Linked DNA regions of Canis lupus familiaris. The protein of the gene in region 6 interacts with the protein of the main gene of each other region in a pairwise test. Links are inferred from orthologs where the notes say so. Each region holds a gene or a part of one and is shown on either strand. Other genes may lie near its edges. The genes, in order: LMO4, ATF7IP, EWSR1, DCP1A, RASSF5 and SMAD4.

Region 1 (3,937 bases), on a different chromosome or scaffold from region 6:
GAGGTGGTGGGAGGGGAGGCAGGGGACGCGAGGGAGGGGGTGCGGTGTGTAAAGTTGCGAAACTGGTTTTTCGTATTTTAAACAGCACCTTTCACATGCCATTGTGGTGACCGCCATCTCCCATTATTGTTCCAAATCTCATTTCATTTTGAAGATCAATGAGTGTTTTCTCTGGGTTTTCAGGACACAGGCAAGAATAATAGATCATTGAACTTTAGGATGCCTGTTAACTTCCTATACAAACACTCTCCACTTTGGTCTCACTAATCTGCCCTTGATCAGCAATTTAAATGCTAAAGCTTTGTTCCTCCAAAGGGGGGGGAGTGTGTGTGTGTGGGGGGGGGGGGGGGGCGACGTTACAGATAATATGCGAGAAGGCACTATTAAGGGATGCACAAGTTATATTCGAGCCAGTCCTGCTGTCACCAAAAACTGCTTTTAAAAAAATTCCCCACTCTTTCTAATGAATGTCACGAGAAGCAACTGGGGTATAATATAGGAATCAATTTATAAAGCTTAGCCTAAACCGATTAATTTGTTGCCTCCAATCCTGAGTCCAATAAAGTCCTAGTGTTCCTCCAGTCACTTATTCTATAAAAAGATCAAGTTATTTACTGCCAATTAAGCAGCCTGTTTTGTCTTTGTCCTCTGTAAGCCGAGAGTGGAGGCTCCCCCCGAGGCTCCCGGCTATCTGCTCAAGACATTCAGCTGATACCTCAGAAGGGAGAGGGCGAACTTTGCCTGTCCCCGGCCCAACTTGGCTGCTGCAAAAAAAAAAAAAAAAAAAAAAAAAAAAAACAACCAGGGGAAGGGAACGAAACAAGGACTCGGGTTCCTTAAATAGGCCGATTTTAAACACATTTCCTCCGAAAGAGTCCCGGAACGTGTGTCCAGTGACCGCACAATAAACCAGAATAAGAACTGCACCAATTAAGCTGTAACAAAACCCTGAGACTTTGGAAACAGGACCACTCTAAAACCCATTAGCATTGCATTTATCCGAATGCATCATACCTTTATGTAAATTGATTTATCTGATGCATTTACTCGAGGAATTGCTTTTTGTTACAATTTCAGCCCTAACCCAAATGAATCTGCATTTCCTGCCCGAGGTCTTTAAACTGTTTCCCCCAACGTTTTAATCGCTCCGAATTCCTTTTTAAAAGGGGAGAGGGAGGGAGGAGATTCCAAGCTCTTCCCCGCCCCCATCTTTGGTGAGAGGTAAATATATATGTATATTTTTTTCGAAAAGGAAACATTACACTGAGAAAAGCATCCAGTAACCCCATTAGCTAAAGCTCTTAAGGACAAGCAATACCTTAATGCTGATTAAATCTAAAAGAGATGAATCAAGAGGACTGACCAGAAACTGACTCCCCTGATAACTAAGGACGGGCCCTCATCAAGTTTCATTTAGAGTTGGAAAAAAAAAAAAAAAAAAAAAAGAAAGCTTTTAAGTTAAATAGGCTTATACTCTAGTAATTACATAGCCAAGCAATTTAGGTCCTGGGATAGTCAGTGAAATAGAAAGCAGAACTGGCAGCTAGAGGCAAAATCTGCCCCCCTTTAACAACGTCTCTGGTGTTTTTTAATGGAGACCAGGGGAGGGACAAACGTAGCGCTGGCAATTTGTAGTACAAAAATGGATGCTTAATTCATGTCTTGATTTTAATTAGGTGATTCACCGGATTTCTCCTGGATTGGAACAAAAGACTTATAAGCCAAGAGGAATTTTTGAAAAGAACCAGCAATACTGAATCCTGCTCACTTAGATCCTTTCTGCCACTGTTTCAAAAATAGTGTTTACTGGGGGGCTGGGGGGGGGGGTCGTGACTATTTCCCCCACACTACTTCTCATACTTAAACCCTCATTTAAGCACCTCCGGCCTTTCCCTTAGGAACTGAAAATACCCCCCCACTACCACACACACACACACACACACACACACACACACGCACACACGCACACACACCCCTCCCCACCCTCCCAGGTCCCCAGCAGCCCCGTCTCCAAGAAGAACCCTTTTGTAAGCAGGAACCGCTACAAAGCTGGCGGCCCGGGGCCGGCTGCCCTCCGTGCTAGCTCGCAGGCCGGCCTCGGTAGTTTCAGACTCGCGCATTATCCAAGCCGACGTATTGTTTACTTGCAATTTGGGACGGTCAAGGGAAGGAAGCCAAAGAAAACAGCCCTGGCCCACATCGGCCCCCTCCTCCCTCTGCCCCCCCTCGCCCGCGGCTCCCCAGCCGTCCCCTTACCTGCTTTTCCCCTATATTGCAATACTGCGAGAGGCGGCGGCGGCGAAAAGCGAGCGAAGCCGCTCGGCTTCCAAGGAAGGGGCGCCTTGGCTGGCGGAGCTGGAGGGAGGGGGGATGTTCTCGCAGAAGCAGGAAAGGGGAGGAGGGGGCTAAGGGCTGCTTTTTTTTTTTTTTTTTTTTTTTTTTTTTAAACGCGTCGCCCTGAGGCTGGGTCGGGGGGCCCCGCCGTAAGCGGCAGGCGGCCGGGAGCTGGAGTGTCAGGCTGAGTCCTCCGCGTCGTCCTCCGCCTCCGCCTCCGGCTCCGGCTCCGCGCGAGCAGCTGCAGGAGCCCGCGGCCCGCGCGGCGCGGCTTCAGGCGCGGCGCAGCGGCAGCAACTGCTGCAATCGCTGCTGCAAGTTTGGCAATGTGGCTTCACTTTGTATATGCCCCCGCCCCCGCCCGCGCGCCTCCCGCTCCTCCTCCTCCTCCTCCTCCTCCGCCTTCCTCCCTCCCGCGCGCCCGCCCGCCCGCTCGCTCGCCCGCTCGCTCGCTCGGGGCCGGCGGCGGGCGCTCGGCCGCGCTTCCTGCCCCTCCAGCCGGGGAGCGGCCGCGGGCACCAGAGCCCCGGAGCGGCGGCGGCCGGCGCGGAGGCCGGGAGCCGGGGAGCTGCGGCCGGCCGGGCCCGGCGCGCTGGAGCCTGCGCCGCTGCCCGGGCTGCTGCTGCTGCGGCGGCCGCCCGGCTCGGAGGAGGCGGCGGCGGCGGCGGCGCTGGCCTCTAGCCGGCTCGCTCGCTCCCTGCGCGGCGCTTACACATGTGTTACTGACAGAGCCGAATCCCAACTACTCCCCGGCTCTGCCGCCGACGTCAGCGACCCTCAGCCACTGGGCGGCCGGGTTGTTCAGGCGGAATAATAAAACCTGCCAATCCGGGGCAGGACAAAGGGAGGACTGGAACGAGACTCCGCGGGCGGGGGAGCGGGGGAGGCGGCGGGCGGAGACGGCCCGGCCGGGGGCAGGTGGGCGGCCGAGCCCCGGGGACCCTCGCGGGACCCCCGGCGGGACCCCAACCCCCTCCCGCGGGGGGCAGGATGGAGCGGCCGGGGGCGCCGCTCCTGCCCGCGCCGGCGATCGCGGGGACCCGCACCCGCGCGCCCCTCGGGGACCCCCCCCCCGCGCGCCCGCGCGAGCCCCGCAGGAAACTTCTCGTCTTGCTCAAAAATGGGTCCCCTCCTGTTGGGGAGGAAGAGTCTCCCCGAAACCTCCGGGCGGGGGGCTTCGCTCGCACGCAGAAGAGGTTTTGTTTTTCTGCCTTTAATTCGCGGGCGTTGGAGACGGATGAGCCCTTAGTGGGAAGTTGAGCGAGCGAGGAGGTGGGGACCGAGTCCGCAGGTCTTGCAGGACTTGGCCGCCCGGCCCCGGTCCCCCGCGTGGGCCCGAGCGCCGGCCGAGAGCCCCGTGGGCGTCTCGTAGGGGATCGTCCGAAGTCGGAGCTGAAGAGCTCACAGCCCGGACTTTGGGGGTCCAGGGGAACTTCAGGGAGGAGGGCTCGGCCTCCATCCACCCCTGCTGTGCAGGAGGAGAGGCCCGATTCCTCAAGCCCCCCGTCCCCCCCCCCCTCCCCCCCCAGACAGCAACAAGGAATGGCAACATTCACCATCCCACAGCCTCTGGGGAGGAAGAAAGGTCACGTCTAGTATAAAT
Region 2 (3,500 bases), on a different chromosome or scaffold from region 6:
TCATCTTTTATAATATTTTCACTAATGGTTTCTACAAGGTCTGCAGAATTTTCATCTTCATTCTTTTCACTTTGGTCAATTTCCATACTGCTGGAGATAGCCTCCTCTCTAAGAGCAGGTTCTGTGACAGCATCTTCTTTTACCTTCTTTTCATTCTCAGGAGGTAGATCTGAACAAATAACTGTATCATCTGTTTCTAGGGTTTCTTCATCAGCATCAATATTACTATCAGCTTTATTTTTCTCATCCAATGAGAAAATTTGGTCTAACTTTTCATCATCCCCATTTTTTTCAAGAAAATCATCACCTTTATTGCTACTAAGCTCTGTACTGTCAGTTTCAGGAACAGGTTCACAAACTGGTACAGAAGCTGGTTCAAAGGTGGGATCAGAGGTTAGTTCATCAGAAGTGGGTTCATCAGAGGCCAGATCACCAGAGGTTGGATCACCAGAGGCTAGATCACCAGAAGCCAGATCACCAGAGGGTGGATCATCAGAGGCCAATGCTCCAGAGGACAGATCACCAGAGGCTGAATCACCAGAGGCTGGATCACTGGAGATCGGTTCACCAGAGACTGATTCATCAGGGACTGACTCACCAGACACCAATTCACCAGAGAATGGCTCACTGGAAACTGTTTCACCAGAGACTATTTCACCAGAGGTGATATCACCAGAGGTGGGATCGCCAGAGGTGGGATCACCAGAGGCAAGATCACTAGAGGTGGCATCACCAAAGGTTAATACTTCAGAAGCCAGATCTTCAGGGGTTGAATCTCCAGATGCTGGATCTCCCATAGCCAGATCAACAGAGGCTGGCTCATCAGAAGCTGGTTCAGCAGTCAGTTTACAAACTAGTTCAGGAGCTATATTATTAGTAGACAAAGGTTCATGCTTTAAATCATCATCCTGCTTGTTTTTTACATTAACATTTAAGGTACAGGACGTTTCTTTCCATTCTGATTTACTTTTTTCAGGGTCAAAACAAAGCTCTTCAATGCCATTCACCTCTTCTTTGTCATTAATATAATCCATATTTTCCAAAGGTGAGGTTGGGTCCAAATCTCCATTTTCATGGTTGCCATTTAACAGCTTAACATCAGCTTTCAACAGTTCTTCTTTGACCTTGTACACTGCTTCAAGTTGCTGACGATCACTCACTCTCATTGTTTTTCGAGCCTTAAAGACTTTTTTCTGAGGTTCTTCTATACTATCCATTTTGAATCTTTAAAAAGAGAAAGAGAGAGAGTTTAATAATTGAAACAGAAGCCACCTAATCATAGATGAACTGCAAACTGATCTTAACAAGCAAGTAGGCCTTAATGTAATTTTGAAATAATGACATATAGAAAGCATAATAATCCTTGCTATGTGTTAATTTTCATATTAATTGGGCTTATGTAATGTAAAATTGATGACAGGTATGAACCATACATAGAAGATCAATCATCATGAAGTACTAAAAAAAAAAAAAAAAAAAAAAAAGACTAGCTTTTTTGGGAGGACAGCAAGAGTCAGTCTTTAGAGCCACTCTTGGAGCCGAACTGTAACGTCCCCTCTTCCTCCACTTCCCATTTTGCAAACAATTAAGGCCATTCATCCCATTAAAAAAGAAAAGAAAAGAAAAAACAAGACAAGAAAGGAAAAGAAAGAGAAAGAAAGAAAAGAAAGAAAGAAAGAAGAAAGAAAGAAAGAAAGAAAGAAGAAAGAAAGAAGAAAGAGAGAGAAAGGAAAAAGTGACTAGTTTCTAGTTTTCTCAGTAAGCTAATGAATTCAGAATCTAGAGGATATAGTAGCATAAAAAAAGTAAATGCAGTAAAAAAGTAGATGGAGAAAGAAAAATAAAAGTATGAGAGACCAAAAGCAGTAGAGGAATGGGAAAGAGATATACAAATAAGGAAAAAAAGAAAGGAAAATTAAGGAAAGATGGCATTTGCAATCAGGCATATCTAAATTAACAGTACTATAAATATATTTACAAAAGATTACCATCCAAAAATTGCTAAGATAATTCTCAACAGGAAACATTCACATATCATATATTTGCAAATAATGTATCTAAGAGACTTGCATCTAAAAAATATAAAATACTATTACAACTGAATAACAACAAAAATAACCCAACTTTAAATGGACAAAGTAACTGGGGTGCCTGGGTGGCTCAGTCATTAAGCACCTGACTCTTAATTTCAACTCAGGTCATATCAGGGGTGTGGAATCAAGCAGGGAGTCTACATGAAAAGTCTGCTTGAGGTTCTCTCTCCCTTTCCCTTTCCTCTGCTTCTCCCCACCCACCTGTGCTCAAGGGAACACAGATCCGTGCACGTGTGTGCATGCTCTCTCAATTTTTTTTTAAACAGACCAAGTAATTGAATAGACGTTTCTCTAAAAGATATACCAATTGCCAATAAACCAATGCTAATAAAACACTAAAAAATGAAAAGATGCTCAACATTACTAGTCATCAGAGAAATATAAATCAAACTGCAATGAAATAACACTTCATATACACCAGAATGGCTATAATCAAAGAGAATAATGAGTATTGGTAAAGACACAGACAAACTGGAACCCTCACACAATGCTTGTGGGATTATAAAATGGTACAGCTGCTCTGGAAAAGTCTGGGAGTTCTGCATCATGCTAAACGTTAACCATTAATTTTCTATATTTCCTCTTTTGCAATACACATAAAGCTATAAATTTCCCTTTTAATGTTGCTTTAGCTGCATTGCATATTTTGATGTGTTACATCTTCATTGTTGCTCTGCTAAAATATTTTCTAATTTCTCTTGTGATTTATTCTTTCACATGTTATTTAAAAGTTGCTTTAGGGGATCCCTGGGTGGCGCAGCGGTTTGGCGCCTGCCTTTGGCCCAGGGCGCGATCCTGGAGACCCGGGATCGAATCCCACGTCGGGCTCCGGTGCATGGAGCCTGCTTCTCCCTCTGCCTGTGTCTCTGCCTCTCTCTCTCTCTCTCTGTGACTATCATAAATAAATAAAAATTAAAAAAAAAAATTAAAAAATTTAAAAAAAAAAAAAAAAGTTGCTTTAAAAAGGCATATATTATGAGTATGTGAAGCTCATTAAAAAAAATACAAGGTTGGTTTCATTTTTTAAAAAATGAAGCAATGTAGATTATAAGTGAGTCATGAAGCATTATGGCTTTCTTTCAGGCCCAACCAAGGTGTCCATCTGATAAAATATATTATTTTCATATTACAATGTCTCGGAATGTAATCTTATTTAGACAGAATCTTTGCAAAGGTAAACAAGATAAAGTAACATCATTAGGGTGGGCCCTAATCCACTATGGTTGGTATCCTTATAAAAAGGGGGAAATCTGGATATAGATATGCACACAGAGAGCCATGGAAAAACTGGAGTTTGGCTATTGCCAAGTCACAGCTAAGAGACAGGTCTGAAATAGGTCCTTCCTTAATCCCTGCATGGCCCTGGATTGCCTTCATTTCAAACTTTTAGCATCTAGAACTATGAGA
Region 3 (3,500 bases), on a different chromosome or scaffold from region 6:
ACTGACCGGTAAGTGTACAGCGTGGAGCAACAGTGGGCTTATGGCAGTTCTTCGCTGAGCCAGCCCGTGTTGCTGAGGGTAGTGCATCTGGCCTGTTGAATAGGTACACTCAGTGAAGAGAAGCTATTGAGTCCTTACAGCCATGTTGGGGGATGTGATTGAGGCTTAGTTTAGTTGTGCTCTTAAATATAATGTTTTTTGATTTTTGTTATTATAGTTCATCTAAAGTTTAATAGCAGTTCTTTGAAGCTTTATCATTACTCAAGAAGGTATCTTTGATTAGTTTCCCTGCAATGTGGCTGACACGTCAAAAACACTTCTAGTACAGTGCATTGATTCTGAAGTTTCTTTAGTTTCCTTATCTGTCTTTTCTTCATGAATGCCCAGATTTCATAGATAATCAGGCATGTCTGAAAGTTCAAAAGCATATATGATATATAGCAAAACAGTTTGAAACTTGGACAGATCATCAAGAGAAAATTGCCGTATTTGTGTGACCGTATACACACCAGAGCCTTGTACTTCTAGAACAGTCACTGTCATGATTGAAGGAATTATTAGAGGCAGGTTTAGAACTGCAGTACTTAACTACCTCCTTTACCTCTATGGCTTTTTCACTGGGTCAGCCTGCCCTGGGTCCCTGTGCACATATTCTTAATTCAGGAAACATCAGACTCACAAATTTGCCTTGAATTTAATCGAACACTGGTTTTAAGAGGGTGGGGGGTAAAAGGAGTCTCTAAGGATTGTATGTTGTATAGATTGGTTTGCATTAATTTTCTCTTTTGCATTTAAAGCTTTATTCTGAATACAGATATATTTGCTTAAATTCAAACTGTTGATATTTAGAAAGTAAGTGCATTTTTAAGGGTTTCTGTGTCACAATATGAATGTCTCGTATTTAGGAGGCTTGAAGAAATAACAAGCTTCTCCTTCCTAATAAGCTTTTTTTCTTTCTTTCAGCTACTCCTCTACACAGCCGACTAGTTATGATCAGAGCAGTTACTCTCAGCAGAACACCTATGGGCAGCCGAGCAGCTATGGACAGCAGAGTAGCTATGGTCAACAAAGCAGCTATGGGCAGCAGCCGCCCACTAGTTATCCCCCCCAAACTGGATCCTACAGCCAGGCTCCAAGTCAATATAGCCAACAGAGCAGCAGCTACGGGCAGCAGAGTGAGTTGCTAAGAGAGAAAACCAAATAAGAATGATTATGTTTGGAGTTTCTGAACATGGGGAAATGCTCTTTGTCGCTATTTACTTTTGGACTCCAGGATGCATCTTTAGGACATAACATCCTAGCTAACTGCTTGGATATCCCATTAAAGACATAAATGCTTTTCTCCAATTTAATTGTTGTTAGTGTACTTTGCAAAAAAAATAAAATAAAAGAGAGTTTGTAACTAACCATAGAAAATATTATAGGACGTTAGCCTCGCTCTCTTTGAGGAGGCTATAATACAGTGAGTAAAGCTGGCATTCCTGTGGCCTACCCACCCACTCAGTAAGGAAGCGAGCAGGTAGCTGTTGAAGACTACTGCAGTTTTGATAGTCAAGTAAATGATATGTTTTTGGGGTTTTTTGTTTGTTTAAATCCATAAAAAAAGTAACCAAAAACTCAAAACTGCATTCCCAATTTAATTTTTATCTGGATCATTGTTTTTAATTAAACTCCATCCATGGGCGTGTTTCATTATAGCTATGAAATGAGTAGTGCTTCTTGATGGAGCCCAACCTTTAAGCCCTAAGAAACCTGCCTGCTATTTTGTTTCCTGAGAGTAGTTTTAAAACAGCTTTTGGAGACATCCTAGGATGCAAAACCCTATAAACTGTTGACCAGAGGGCTCATTTCTTATTTGGGTGGTTTATTCTAGGCTAACTATGTAAGGTTACCTCAGAAGATGGTGCCTTGGTTAGTGCCTTGCGATTGAGCATTCTGTGATTCCAGGAGAAAGTACAACAGGCAGTGTTCAAATGCTGGTCCATGGCTTACAGATGTGACTCTTTCCTCAGGTTCATTCCGACAGGACCACCCCAGTAGCATGGGTGTTTATGGGCAGGAGTCTGGAGGATTTTCCGGACCAGGAGAGAACCGGAGCATGAGTGGCCCTGATAACCGGGGCAGGGGAAGAGGGGGATTTGATCGTGGAGGCATGAGCAGAGGTGGGCGGGGAGGAGGACGCGGTGGAATGGGGTAAGAGCAAACCTTTTCTCCTTTTACCTAATTTTGTTTCATCCATAGGATTTTCAATGGAAAGAAGGGACTGAAAGACATAAGAAATTTATTTCTACATTTCCATGGACAATCTGTTGAGCCCAGGCCATCTTCTAAAACATGGAAATGTCATCTTTGTGGCATAGATTAAGTGGCAGTTTGCTTTTTTCCCTGCCAATCTACTTGGTTGGGTTGGGGAGAACAAAGAATGGTTTTGAAACGAGAGCTTTCAGTTCCCTTCATGGTTTCCAGAGGTCAAAAGCCTCTGTGGGTAATAGACTCGGGATGGAACACACACAACCCTTCTAACACCCCTAGGTTTTTAACTAATTGCCTTTGAATGGTTGTCTTGAAATACCTGGTATATATATATATATACTGCAGAAAAGGAACACAGTTGTTTTCCACAATGTTTGTCCCCAACTTCTGTTAGTACTTGGAATTGTTGAACGTAATGATGAAGATCTTGGTCCCATAACCCCTGAACTATGACCTGAGGTGCACCTGGTACAGAAAAGTCTAATAGTTTTTTGCAGAGTAATGTATATAATTACAGGATCACTCCCCATTGGAGATTTTGAGAAGTCTAAATCGGTTTGACCATTTTGATTGATGGCACAATCTGGTTTAGAAAACTTTGTTTAGATCAGTAACATAACCCTGCTACCTGTGCCTGCCCCTCCCCTCCCTCTCCCATCCCTTCCCCCCTTTATGGTGTCTGTACTTTGATGAAGGTGAGGTATAATGTTGATGGTTAACATAATCTGGAAGGTTTAGTTCTGTGTGTGTTCTGTCCCTATATAAACTAGTAAAAAAAAAAAAAAAAAAAGTTATGCAGAATGTTACATAGTATGTATAAATTGGATTTGGTGCCACTGTTGGTACAAGGAAAAATTGGGTGTAGGGATTCTTTTTTGTTTTGTTTTGTTTTGTTTTAAATAGAAGTGGACTTCAAAATTAAATAAAAATTTGATCTTTAATTTTTATATTCCCAAATCTGTTTCCTATTGAAAGATAACTGAGAATTAGGTTCTGTGTATTCTGCATAACTTAAAAAAGTCTTTGGTGAAATCTTTATTGGAAGAAACAGTTATCTGACAACACAAAAATTGATAAATAATTTGGTATAAAATAAAATCAGTCTGATTTGGAAAATGTCATTCCATTATAAAGGTTTCACTTTATGGATGTTTTAAAATAGACGTAGACACTTGAAATTACTATCATCACGTCTCCAATCACCTAGAATTCTTAGTATTTTCCAATTGCAAAATCAATTTCAAGTT
Region 4 (3,500 bases), on a different chromosome or scaffold from region 6:
AAAGCTTCACATGTGGGTAAAATTCAAATGCTGTTTATTTAAAGGCTGTGAACCTACCACCAATTACAGACCATAAGTGTACCTTTTAGTATTAGTGGGTGCAAATAATCAGACTACATAAATTCTAAGCCTTAGCAGAGGCTACAAGGGTTAACAATAGGTAAGAAGCTTTTTCAGAACTACTTGTTGCAGGCTACCTTCCACAACCTGAAACCATTTTCTCCCATAGTAATTTTACAGGAAACAGAAAAAGAGCATTCTAGGTTTTTATGGCAAGTCAAGGACTCGGAGATATGCAAATTTCTTTCCCTTTTAGGCTAAAAACTGTAAGGCAAAATTCTCTTTTTGGACTAATCATCTCTGCTTTTTGGACTAAGTCATCTCTGCCTAGAGGTGACCTTCCCAGTACATGAGTCCCCCAGAGGCCTCCCCCACCCTTGCTGGTCCTCCTAGTCAGCATCTCACCCTCTCATATTCATCCTTGGCTCTGCTTAGCATCTCCAGGATGTCGATGGGCCTGTGGTCACTGCAGCCGTTGGCCTGGCTGGGACTCTGCTTGTCCCGGGCAGCTTGCTGGGACCGCCGTGTCTCCTCTTCTACAACACTAGTGGAAGAGAACCAGGTTTCAGAAACACTTCTTTTTTTTTTTTAAATATATATATATATTTTTAATTTTTTATTTATTTATGATAGTCACGGGGGGGGGGGGGGGGGGGCAGAGACACAGGCAGAGGGAGAAGCAGGCTCCATGCACCGGGAGCCCGATGTGGGATTCGATCCTGGGTCTCCAAGATCGCGCCCTGGGCCAAAGGCAGGCGCCAAACTGCTGCGCCACCCAGGGATCCCAGAAACACTTCTTTAAACCCGATTTGACCCATGAACTCTCCTGGTGTTCGTCTTCTGTGGATATGGGAAGAGTGTCACAGGATACACTGTTCTCCCAATACATATGCAAGGCCTCCGCTACCTCATCCCGGAAACATGTTCATCCCGGGAACATGTGACTAACCACTTGGCCAGCTCATGCATAACAACGCTGAATGGCGTGTCTCACTGTTTGAAGGACAGAAGTACAGAATCCTTTTCTAGAGTTGGTGGAAGCAAATAAAGTAAAAATGACTTAATTATTTCTCTTTCAAACTACCAGGTAAAGTACATTTTCAAATGGACATGGCAAGCAAGACAAAGGCAGGTTGCAGAGCTGAGCAACCAACTATGCAAAGTTTGTACGACACCAGACTAGCAAGGAAAGAGAGAAACCACCTTCTTGAAAAGAGGGGTCTTGGGGAATCTTCAAAGGTTTCCTTTATTCTCTCCTTAGAAATCAGAGTGGGTGGCTGAGGTCAGGGTGATTGGTAATGCTCTTTATTCTGATTGGTGCTTACACTAATTCTGCACTTGAAAACACACAAAGCAAGAAAAGTTGAGGGTTAAGAATGTCACTGATAGGGTTGGGGCCTTTTTTCTTTTTAAGATTCATTTATGTTTTAATCCCAGCTGTAATGAGTAGGTTATTATGAGCACAGACACAGCTTGATAATTGTATGAACTGAAAACTTTCTGGACAGTGATAAGGATAGGCAATAAAATAATTCAGCAGCCAAGGGTTTGTTGTTTATTCTGAATAACAGGAGCAGAACAATAGGCTACTTGGTATCTGTTCACTGCTCTAAAACAGCCTTTTAAACAGCCTGCTTAGGAGCTCCCATTACTGTGTGTGGGATGGTTCTTCTATTTGAAAACACTGAAAATATCAAACAGATCTTTTTTTTTTTTTTAACAGCAGAATCATTCTGACTTTTTAACATGCTAAAATGTATTACGATTCTCTGATAAGGGTGGGCTTAAAAATTTTCCCAAATTTATTTGACCATATAGAATCTTCTCCTGAGGCAGGATTTGTTTGGAAAATTCTGCTTTAAGGTAATGGCATTTATTGATCTAGATTCTTACAGCTGTGAATAGGATGATTAGTTTTGGCTTTTTTTTTTTTTGGATTTATTTATTTATTTATTTAGACAGAAAAAGCATGTAGGGAAGCAGAGGGAAGGGGAGAATCTTAAATAGATTCCCCACTGAGTGCAAATTCCCAAAGGGTTTGATCCCAGGACCCGGAGATCATGACCTGAGCCAAAACCAAGACTGAGATGCTTAACCGACTGAGCCACCCAGGAGCCCCTGGGATAATTATTTTGAAAATAAATATACAATCATGGACTTTACAGTAGAGTGAAAGAAGACTGTTATGTGATATGAGAATCAGACCATTTAGAATCAACATTATTTTTTCCTCTATCCATACTGGGAAAGAAAGATTGTGACAGCTGTGAGGCCAGTTACAAAGGAAAAAAAGACCAGAGAGACATATATTGGTTATTTCTTAATGGTGGGTCACAAGCAATTTCACTTTCCTTTTTTGTACTTTCCTCCATGTTCCGTTATTTTATTTTTTTAAAGATTTTATTTATTTATTTATGAGACACACAGAGAGGCAGAGACACAGGCAAGAGGGAGAAGCAGAGTCTCTGCAGGGAGCCTGATATAGAACTCGATTCCAGGACCCTGGGATCATGACCTGAGCCTAAGGTGAACGCTCAACCACTAAGCCACCCAGGTGCCCCTCTTCATGTTCCATTATTAACAAGCCCTCCTTAATAATCAGGAGGATAAAAAAAAGTGCTATTTCAAGGGACTTGTAGTTACACTCAGTTATAGACTGCACCGGTCTGAATCCACCTTTACTGAGGACTCCAGTTGCACAGCCTATTTCTCCTGCCTCCTGCCATGCTGCTTGTCTTGCCCAGGCTGGTATTCCTCTCTCCCCTGACCCGGACTGGATCTGTAATTTTGATTCAAAAGAAGAACATCTCTTTTATTTCCTTTTCTTTCTTTCTTTTTTATTTTTAAAGTAAGCTTTACGTCCAACATGGGGTCTGAACTCCTGCCCCTGAGATCAAGAGTTGCATGCTCTACTGACTGAGCCAGCCAGGGGCCCCCAAAGAGAATTCTGGTCATTTCTAATAGTCACCACCGCTCACCCGTGGAATACGGCCACCTTATAAAGCACACCACTGCTGCAAGCAGAAGCTGTCTAGGTGGCATGGAAGGAACAGGAATGATGCTTAGACTCTGTAAAGACTCTTCTAATCCAAACTCTGTGAGGAATGCCCTTGCCTCTCACCCTCCTCTCAAATATACCCCAAGACTACCTGTAAAATCAGGAATAAAGCTTATTTCCATGAATTCTCCAAATTTCATAGTCTATATAGGCAACCATTCTAACAAGTGCTTATTGTTAAGAAGAGTTTCTGGCAGAGTGGATTTCCTCTTTAAGAGAGTCAGCATTTCCTAAGTTTAGTGAATTTTCAACTTTGCCACTGACCAGAGAGGATTTCCAAATTCAGATATGGTACAGGTCTAGAAGTTCACTTGCTCTCCCACATAGCCTCTCAGTGTTTTTTTTTTTTTTTTTAATTTTTTATTTAAATTCAATTTGCCAA
Region 5 (4,225 bases), on a different chromosome or scaffold from region 6:
CACGTCCTCATCTCAGCTCCTTCTGCTTTGTAACACTGTGGGGTTGGCTATTTTCCCTTGTGCCCAGAGACCACCTCTTGAGGTGAGAAGCTCCAGCCTCCGGTGAGGCCCGGCACCTGGAACATGTCCCCTGCCTCAACGCAAAGGGCTCTCTGATTGCCATCACCATGAAGGAGAAGCTGTGGACGGAAGCAGGCTGGGAATTCCCTGATCACTGGACTTTCCAAATTTTAGGAATCATCTAAAACTTACCTCCAAAGGAAAAGCAAAAGCAAAAGTGAAGATTCCCCCACCGGGCGCTGGGGGGAGTCCCATCTCTGACCTGGGAAGGAGAGGGTGCCAGTGGGAGGTCGAGAGGACTTTAGATTATTTTCAAAGTTGGTGACCTCTGTTGAATCAACCAAACTGAACCCCAGGTTTTACGAGGACGGGCGGTGGTCACTGCGTCAGAAGAGTGGATCGCAAATGCAATTGCCTGTCTTCCCACTCCCAGACTAGTTTACAGGCAAAAAACAAACCCTGGAGGCTGGAGGCTGGAGGCTGGAGGGGGCCCAGGGCCATGCTTCTGGCCCCTTCCAAGGTCCAGCAGTCCCGTTCCCCGCCCGCGAGAGACGGTCAGGACAGGCTGCTAACTTGGCGGGATCCGGTGTAAAGAAAACCTGCCGGGCTCTCCGTTCAACGAATATTAAGCCTCAAGACGGTGGAATCGGAGCCACCAGATGGAAGGGACAGAGGAGGCTGTGAAGCAGGCTCGGGGGCAGCGGAAAGCGACCCGGCGTCGGGTCCCCGGGGGCGCCGTCCTCTCCTGACGCAGGGGGGTCCCGGGGTCCCCGGGCAGCCGCGGGCAGAGCCGGCCGCGACCCAGGAAGACGCGCGCTCCGCAGCCGCGAGGGGGGCGCTCTCGGGGGCCGGGCCCGGGGTCATCCGCACCCCAGGCTTCCGGGAAAGGGGAACCCGGTAGGGGAAATCCAGCCCGTCCCGCGGTCGGCGAGGGCAGCGTCCCCGCCGCGCGCCCCTGGGGGTCACGCGGTTCCGCCCGGCGGGGGGGGGGGGGGCGGGGGAGGCCGAGGATGTGCGCGCCCCGGCCCGGGACCTCGCCGTAGACGCCCCCCCCAGCTAGTTCCTAGGCCCCCCGCGGCCTCCTGCGCCCTCACCTGGGCGTGGGGGGGCGGGGGGCGGGGGAAGCGGCGGGAGAGCGGAGGAGGCGGGGCTGCAGGCGGCGGCGGCGGCAGCAGCGCGTCTTGAGCGGCCCGGGCCGTCCGCTCGGCCTCCCGCAGACGCCCCGGAGCGCGCGCTCGGCGGCGGGTGGTTCCCCGGGCGGCCTCCCCGCCGCGCCCCGCCCCGCCCCGCCGCGCCCCGCCCCGCCCGCTGCGGCCCCTTAAAGGCGCGCGGGGGAGGGCGGGCCGCCCGCCTCTCGAGCGGACTCGGGAGCCGCCGCCGCCGGCGCGCGTGGCCATGGCGTCCCCGGCCATCGGGCAGCGTCCCTACCGGCTGCTGTTGGACCCAGAGCCGCCGCGGTACCTGCAGAGCCTGAGCGGCCCCGAGCCGCCGCCGCCGCCGCCCCCCGGCCGCTCCCCGCGCCGCTGCGCCCCGGCACCTCTGTCCACCGCGCCCGGGGCGCACGAGGGGCGCGGCGCCCGCAGGGCCGCCCGGGCGGACGCGGAGCCCCAGCCGCGGCCGCCCAGACCCCCTCGCCCCATCCGGCCGGGTCTGCAGCAGAGACTGCGGCGGCGGCCCGGAGCGCCCCGGCCCCGCGACGTGCGGAGCATCTTCGAGCAGCCGCAGGACCCCCGCGTCCCGGTGGAGCGAGGCGAGGGGCACCGCTTCGGCGACCTGGCGCTGCGGGGCGGCCGCGGCTGGTGCGACCTGTGCGGACGGGAGGTGCTGCGGCGGGCGCTGCGCTGCGCGAGTGAGTGCGAGGCCGGGGCGGGGGGGGGGGGGGCTCGGGGGGCCGCGGGAGGCCTCCGGGCGGGTGTGCTCCAGGGGCTGCCGGCACGCCAGGTGTGCCTACGCCGGCTTAACAAATGCCCCTTTCCCTGACAGGTGCGTAGCTTCCCCTGCGCGCACACACGCGCGCACACACACACGCGCGCGCTCTCGGGTTGCGGATGAGGACCACCGCGGCAAGGTCATTCCGTTGTCTCCCACGCACCCGCTTGCTTTTGTTGTAGCTTCGTGACAGTGGCTGCTGAGACTGCTCTTGACACGGCCATTTGACCCGTGCTTATTAGGGTTAATGGGAAAACGGCTTGTCTCCCGCGGTCCAGGCCCGCGGTGCGTGTCCACCTGTGGTGCACCCCCCTCCAGGGCGCACTGTTGGGACGGGAAAGAGACCCGGTTCGGCTTTGGATGGAAAGGGGCTGCGGGTGGAAGTGAGCCTGAGGTCACCCGGACCGTGCCCCCTCCCCCCTCGTTGCCTTCCGCTCTGACCCTCCCCCTAGGCGGTGCACCAGTCATCAGTGTCAACTCCCTGTCCAGTACTTTCCTCCCTGGAGCTCTCAGGCCCCTCCAGCCTCTTTCTGAGCCAGGCTCTGCTTGAAACCTGACTGTAGAACACTGGACACCCAGCGTGTAGACTTGCTGAGCAAATTTGCAGTCTTCTTGGGGGTGAGGGTTATTATTTTTGTTTCTTCATCCAGTTAGGCACGGGTATCTCTTTAACCGTGTCCTCTCCCCGCCCCCATATTTGCAGTTGCCGTGTTTGGTGGAGGATATCCATATCCATGTGTTTACGTGTTTACAGAGATATTTAAATATCTGAAGTACAAAGCACAGAGGATGGCACAGCCCCTAACAAGCATCTCTGGAAATGGGTTGTGGTTTGTATCTGTCCGCGAAGGGCCCTTCCCCCAGGACCCAGGGCCCACATCTCCCATCTGACCGCAGCTGCTTCCCCATCAGGAAAACCCTACCTTGCCCGTCTCGTCTCTGCAGTTCACAGCAGAGGCTGTGCAGGGTGTCCCCTGCTGCGACTGGCTTCAGGGGAGGAAAGCTCACATTCTAAGCCAGGGTCAAGCAGAAGGGAAAGATTGGAGGGGAGAGTAGGTGTTGCTCCCTCTGCCAGCAGAACTCACGGTTTAGGTGCTAACACGAAAGGAAAGAGCAGACTTCATAGAGGTGGGTGTTGTGGTTGGAGGGCAGCTGCCACTCGGTAAATGCTCCCGACCTTACAGTAGAATCAAATGTCACTTGCCCATGGACGTCTTGGCAACTATTGCCCTCTCAGGGGTCCTCGGGTACTTTACTGTACCCCCCACGTCTATAAACACAGACAGAGGGAGCACTCACCGTCCTGGAGTTCGCTGTGCTGGAATCCTGGGAAATCCACTTCAGTGGAATTCTAGTCTGTATTAAGACGTTTGGGGACTGTATCACCCAGGGATGTCTGAACACCAGAGAGGGAGCAGAGCTGGAATCAAGGGACTAGGAGCGGAGTCTCTGTTTGTCATTATTAATATTTAACTAGCTGGGGACCTGTGGCTGGGTGGGAACAGTTGAGAAATGTTCTGATGTGCGAATGAGCGAATGAGCGCTGGCAGGTGAAGACACAGCTGGCTGCACTCCCCGAGCATCTTCCTTTAAGTTGACCATCTAATTCCATGCTGCGGTTGGTTTGTTTGATCTTTGTTTTCAAGAGCAAGGTTCAGAAATAGGACTCTAAAAAGGCAATAGCATGCAGCGATTAAGAGAACAGACTGAAGCCAGAGGACCTGTTTCAAATCCCTACTCCACCGCTTAATCTCTGTGTCATTCTGGGCATCTCTGTGCTCTGCTTTCTTGCTCTTAAAAAAAAATGAGGCTAACCCTGTCGGCTTCATTGTGTTAATGTGAGAATTAAATGAACGAATATATGTAAAGTGCTTTAACACAGTGCCTGGCAAAATGCATTGTGAACGTTTCTGTTATCCCCTCCCATCCGACAGCCGCAGTTATTTGTCTGGCCTCATGACACCTCTGAGGGTCACCCTTCCACGCAGTGAGTGTAGTTCTCAAACCCTGCCTGGTTGAACTAAGTGGGGAAGTGAGTGCCATGAGCATCCCCGGATGTGCGGGTGTCGGCTGTCCTCCAGAAACACCATTCCTGCTGGGTGTGGCCGAGGAGCATCCTCACTGAATACCAGTGGCTTAGAGAGCACTTAGGTATTAGTGTCTTGCCTTTATTTCATCTGCCCCTAACAAAGTGCCAGGCACAGAGCAGCCTCAGTAAGTAGCCTTTGATGAAGGT
Region 6 (3,995 bases):
TGTACAATGAGCACCGAAACGGCCAACATAAGATGTTTAAAGCCTTGTTTACTATCAAAATCACTGGATGGAAGATGGGAAAAAGTTAGGCATGAGCTAGAGGGGAACAATATAGAACTGAAATAACTTTAAACATAAAAAAAGGTACTCAACAAAATAGGCAAAATTTTAGACAGGACTAAAAATGCGTTTTAAATGAACGGGACAGATCCTGCAGGGTTAAGAGCCCTAGTAGAGGCCACAGCAATTCACAGCTCAATTAGGATAGTGTCTAATGACGTTATAACACCAGCTCAATCAGAAAAAAACAGCTTCCAAGCCAGAGGGCTGGAGTGTGACTGGGCAGCATAAATTAGTTTAATGCTTTTTTCTCTTTAATATGGGGGGGGGGGGGTGTCTAAAGGGGAATGCAGAAAAACAATTCAGACACAAATAAACAGCTCAACCAAAATGTAGCCTCAGAATAAAACATACATAGGTTTTTAGAAGATTTGCTGCTTCGTAGTGTAAGCAGCATTGCTTCAAGCAGCAAAGCCATTAGAAAAGGCCAATGATCCATGTAAAAATTTCAAATTCACCTTCTCAGCCCAAATTTCCATCAAATCTCAAACTGACGTGCAATTCTTTTCTAAGCTCGAGATTTACAAGGCGGGCACTCAGCTAAACAGAGAAGCTTCCACTCAGGCCCTCCTACTCGGAAAATCAAAGAATTAAGAAGATGCAGTGCCTCTTCAAGCAACCTCACCCAAAAACCTGGAAAGCAAAGAAAAAGCCACTTCTATTAACAGACCCACGAAAGGTTCTATCCATTTTCTCTAGAAAGGCTCTTAGGTTTAATTCCGACAACTTAAACCTACACAATTCATCACCCCCTTTAGACCCCAAAACCCTGCGAGTCCTGTTGGTTCTGGTAACAAACCCGTTTAGGGAAACAAAGTCACAGCTCATGAAACAGCAGCAGGACGTCATATTTTAAGAGGTCAATCACATCATTTACAACTTGAAATGTCACATACTCGGCATATCAGAACTTTTCAGAAGAAAAAATAAGAAGTCCTTAACGGAAAAGTCCTCACGCCTCGGAGGCTCAGAGGCTCGCGGGCAACACGGCGCAGGTGCAGGAAGGCAGGCGCGGGCACCGCGGCCCACCCACCCAGCTGCGTCCTAAATCCCGTTACTTTTTCAAAGCGTGGATTTCCTTATTTCCTCTTAAGACTCCACGGTCTGTTCCAACAAAAACTACTCAACCTACTTTTTTAAGATCCACAGAGACTGCTGCTGAGACTCAAGGGGCGCTCCCTGAGAAGACTAGAGTGCTCCCTGCGAAGACTAGGGTGCTCCCTGCAAAGACTAGAGTGCTCCTTGCGGGGACTCAAGGGGGTGCTCCCCACGGAGACTCAAGAGGACACTCCCTGCAGGGACTCAAGGGGGTGCTCCCTGCGGGGACTCAAGGGGGCGCTCCCCACGGGGACTCAAGAGGACACTCAAGGAGGTGCTCCTCGCGGGGACTCAAGGGGGTGCTCCCTGCGAAGACTAGGGTGCTCCCTGTGGAGACTCAAGAGGACACTCCCTGCAGGGACCCAAGGGGGTGCTCCCTGCAGGGACTCAAAGGGGTGTTCCCTGCGGCAGGTCGGGGCCCCTACCGAGCCTCTGCACCCCAGCTCCTCCGCACCCTGGCTCGCGGTCAGGAGATGCCCAGGAGCCCGCTGCGCCGCGTCCACGACCCCGAAGGGCCCTCAGCCCCACCTCAGAGTACAGCGCAAAAGGCACCAAGGAACTGGGTCCAAAGTGAATTCATCGGAAATAAAATGTGTTCGTGAAAAAGAATCTTTCACCAGGGCTTTGGGGGGGGGGGGGGGAGGTGCTGCGCATCACCACCAGCAGAGCCGTCGGACACCTCTCCAGGCCCCCAAAGCCACCTTTCAAGTTAACCCAACACGCCCATTTCTTTGAAAAATCTTCCCTGAGAAATGATAACCTCAGTTTTGGGGGCAAGTGATGGAGCCACCGCCCTCCGTCCTAGAGCCTCGCGCCCAGCGCTCGCAGTCCCAGCAGCGGGAGAAACTGGGTCCTTGGGTTTTCATTGGGAGTGGGGTGGGGTGGGGTGGGGTGGGGTGGGGTGGGGGGCGGCCGGGAGCTGATTAGGGGAAGGATTGAGGGGTGGAGGGGTGGAAGGGTGGGGGGTGGAGGGATGGGGGGGTGAGAGGTGGAGTGGAGGGGCGGGGTGGAGAGGTGGAGGGATGGAGGCTGGGGGGGCGGCCGGGTGCTCATCAGGAGAGGGGGGAGGGATGGAGGGGTGCGGGGGAGGGGCGCGCGCAGGTCAGCGGGAGGGCTCCCCCCCGCCGCCCGCCCGCTCCCGAGCCGCGAGAGCGCCCAGCGCAGGCCGAGGCGAGCGCCGGAGCGGCCCCGGCAGGAAGGGAAAGTGGAGGACAAAGGCGGCACCGACGTGTCCCCGAGACGGGAAACTTCGGGCGCGCTCGGCGGGGGCGGCGGGCGCAAGTCCTCGGAGCAACAAAGACCGACGGCGACGGCAGGGGAGCCGCGGCGGGCGCGGGGGCGCGGAGGCGCGGGGGCGCTGGGCCCGGGACGCGAGGCGCGAGGCCCCCCGCCCCCCGGCCCCCGCCCCGCCCCCCGCGCACACGCACGCGCACGCGCACACGCACGCACCGGCCGCCCGAGCCCGCCCCGGGGCGGGGAAGCCCGGGGGTGGGGGGGCGCGGGCCCGGCCGGGGAAGGGGAGGGCACGGGGCCGTTACCTGGGCTCCGCCGCCGCCGCCGCCGCCGCCGCCGCCGCCGCCGCCGCCGCCGCCGCCGCCGCCGCCGCCGCCGCCGCCGCCGCCGCCGCCCGTCCGCGGGCCACCGCTCCCCCCGCGCCCCCGCCCCTCCTCGCCGCCGCCGCCGCCGCCGCCCGCCGGCCGCCTCGAGCTCCCGGGCCGCCCCGCGGGGGGGGCCCTCGGTCGCGGGGCGCCCGGCTCCCCTAGCCGCTCCCGCCGCCGGGCGGCCGCGCCGCTGAAGGACCGGCGGGCAAGGCCTCCCGAGGACGGCGCGCGGGCGCCAACGCGGGCCCCGCCACCCGAGCCGCTCCGCTAGCGCAGCGGCGACGACGACCAGGGCCGTGTTGTTGCTGCCAACTTGTCGGGAGGCCACGGAGCATGCGCGCACGGCGACCACATCCGGGTAACTGCAGGCCTCGGCCCGTGCCCCCGCAGCTCCCTCTCCCGCGGCCCCGCCCCCCGCGGAGCGCCGGCGGGGGGGTTGTGCGCAGGCGCGGGGCGCAGGCGCGATGCGCGGCCCGGCGGCGGGCGGCCCCGAGGGCGGACACCTGCCGGGCCCCCTCCCGGCTCCGCGGCGCGCGGACCGGCAGCCCGTGCGGGAGTGTGGCCGCGGGTCACGGAGGCCAGTGGACGGGGCTCGGGGGACACTGCGATGGGGGCGGCGCTCAAGGACCTGCCGCGCACCTGTTGAGGCCACCTGTGGGGCGAAACTCGGCTTCGCAGTGCATACCTACTTATCTCAACTTTTCCAAGATGCGCGCATTTCTTTTATTTTTAAAAGTTTCAGAAAACACGTACGAGTTGCATACTTTCGAATTTTTGTTTTATTTTTTACCACCTAGAAAAAACTTCCCCTGCCGGGGGTGGGGAGCCCGACGCAAGCTAGTGGCGAGGAAGCGCTCAGACCCTCCGTACGCCCGTCCCCGCGCCGGCCCCGCCCGCTGTCCCCACGGCGTCCCGGCCCCGCCCCCGCCCCGCCCCCGCCCCGCCCCCCCGTCCCTGCTCTCCACCCCCGTCCCCGCCCCCGTCCCCGTCCCCTCCCTGCTGTCCTCGCCCCGCTGTCCCCGCCCGTTCCCAAGCTGTCCTGCCTGGCTGTCCCCACGGTGTCCCCCCCTGCTATCCCCTCGGCATCCCGCCCGTTCCCGAGCTGCCCCCCCCCCCCGCACCACGGCAACCCGCACTCCTGCGTGTCCCGCCGCCGTCGTCTCCCGTGTTCCCTGC

What was found.
Region 1: the proteins of SMAD4 (region 6) and LMO4 interact in binary tests that used the Homo sapiens proteins (3 or more experiments, as listed by UniProt). The link is inferred for Canis lupus familiaris from reciprocal best matches to the Homo sapiens genes SMAD4 and LMO4.
Region 2: the proteins of SMAD4 (region 6) and ATF7IP interact in a two-hybrid assay, tested with the Homo sapiens proteins (2 studies listed by BioGRID and IntAct). The link is inferred for Canis lupus familiaris from reciprocal best matches to the Homo sapiens genes SMAD4 and ATF7IP.
Region 3: the proteins of SMAD4 (region 6) and EWSR1 interact in binary tests that used the Homo sapiens proteins (3 or more experiments, as listed by UniProt). The link is inferred for Canis lupus familiaris from reciprocal best matches to the Homo sapiens genes SMAD4 and EWSR1.
Region 4: the proteins of SMAD4 (region 6) and DCP1A interact in binary tests that used the Homo sapiens proteins (3 or more experiments, as listed by UniProt). The link is inferred for Canis lupus familiaris from reciprocal best matches to the Homo sapiens genes SMAD4 and DCP1A.
Region 5: the proteins of SMAD4 (region 6) and RASSF5 interact in binary tests that used the Homo sapiens proteins (3 or more experiments, as listed by UniProt). The link is inferred for Canis lupus familiaris from reciprocal best matches to the Homo sapiens genes SMAD4 and RASSF5.

Annotation. Positions count from the first base shown.
Region 1 is NC_049227.1:61,435,912-61,439,848, forward strand, and holds the start of LMO4 (LIM domain transcription factor LMO4), read right to left. Parts: upstream 2,801-3,937; 5' UTR 2,257-2,800; intron 181-2,256; exon of another isoform or gene 89-180; intron 1-88. UniProt on the Homo sapiens protein: Transcription cofactor. Plays a role in establishing motor neuron identity, in concert with MNX1, acting, at least in part, to disrupt LDB1-LHX3 complexes thereby negatively modulating interneuron genes in motor neurons.
Region 2 is NC_049248.1:14,037,489-14,040,988, reverse strand, and holds part of ATF7IP (activating transcription factor 7-interacting protein 1), read right to left. Parts: intron 1,225-3,500; coding exon 1-1,224. UniProt on the Homo sapiens protein: Recruiter that couples transcriptional factors to general transcription apparatus and thereby modulates transcription regulation and chromatin formation. Can both act as an activator or a repressor depending on the context.
Region 3 is NC_049247.1:23,003,698-23,007,197, forward strand, and holds part of EWSR1 (RNA-binding protein EWS), read left to right. Parts: intron 1-963; coding exon 964-1,175; intron 1,176-2,012; coding exon 2,013-2,193; intron 2,194-3,500. UniProt on the Homo sapiens protein: Binds to ssRNA containing the consensus sequence 5'-AGGUAA-3'. Might normally function as a transcriptional repressor. EWS-fusion-proteins (EFPS) may play a role in the tumorigenic process.
Region 4 is NC_049241.1:36,923,059-36,926,558, reverse strand, and holds part of DCP1A (mRNA-decapping enzyme 1A), read right to left. Parts: intron 605-3,500; coding exon 466-604; intron 1-465. UniProt on the Homo sapiens protein: Necessary for the degradation of mRNAs, both in normal mRNA turnover and in nonsense-mediated mRNA decay. Removes the 7-methyl guanine cap structure from mRNA molecules, yielding a 5'-phosphorylated mRNA fragment and 7m-GDP.
Region 5 is NC_049259.1:3,364,575-3,368,799, forward strand, and holds the start of RASSF5 (ras association domain-containing protein 5), read left to right. Parts: upstream 1-1,425; 5' UTR 1,426-1,455; coding exon 1,456-1,909; intron 1,910-2,765; exon of another isoform or gene 2,766-2,819; intron 2,820-4,225. UniProt on the Homo sapiens protein: Potential tumor suppressor. Seems to be involved in lymphocyte adhesion by linking RAP1A activation upon T-cell receptor or chemokine stimulation to integrin activation.
Region 6 is NC_049222.1:24,038,340-24,042,334, forward strand, and holds the start of SMAD4 (mothers against decapentaplegic homolog 4), read right to left. Parts: upstream 2,801-3,995; 5' UTR 2,757-2,800; intron 744-2,756; exon of another isoform or gene 579-743; intron 1-578. UniProt on the Homo sapiens protein: In muscle physiology, plays a central role in the balance between atrophy and hypertrophy. When recruited by MSTN, promotes atrophy response via phosphorylated SMAD2/4.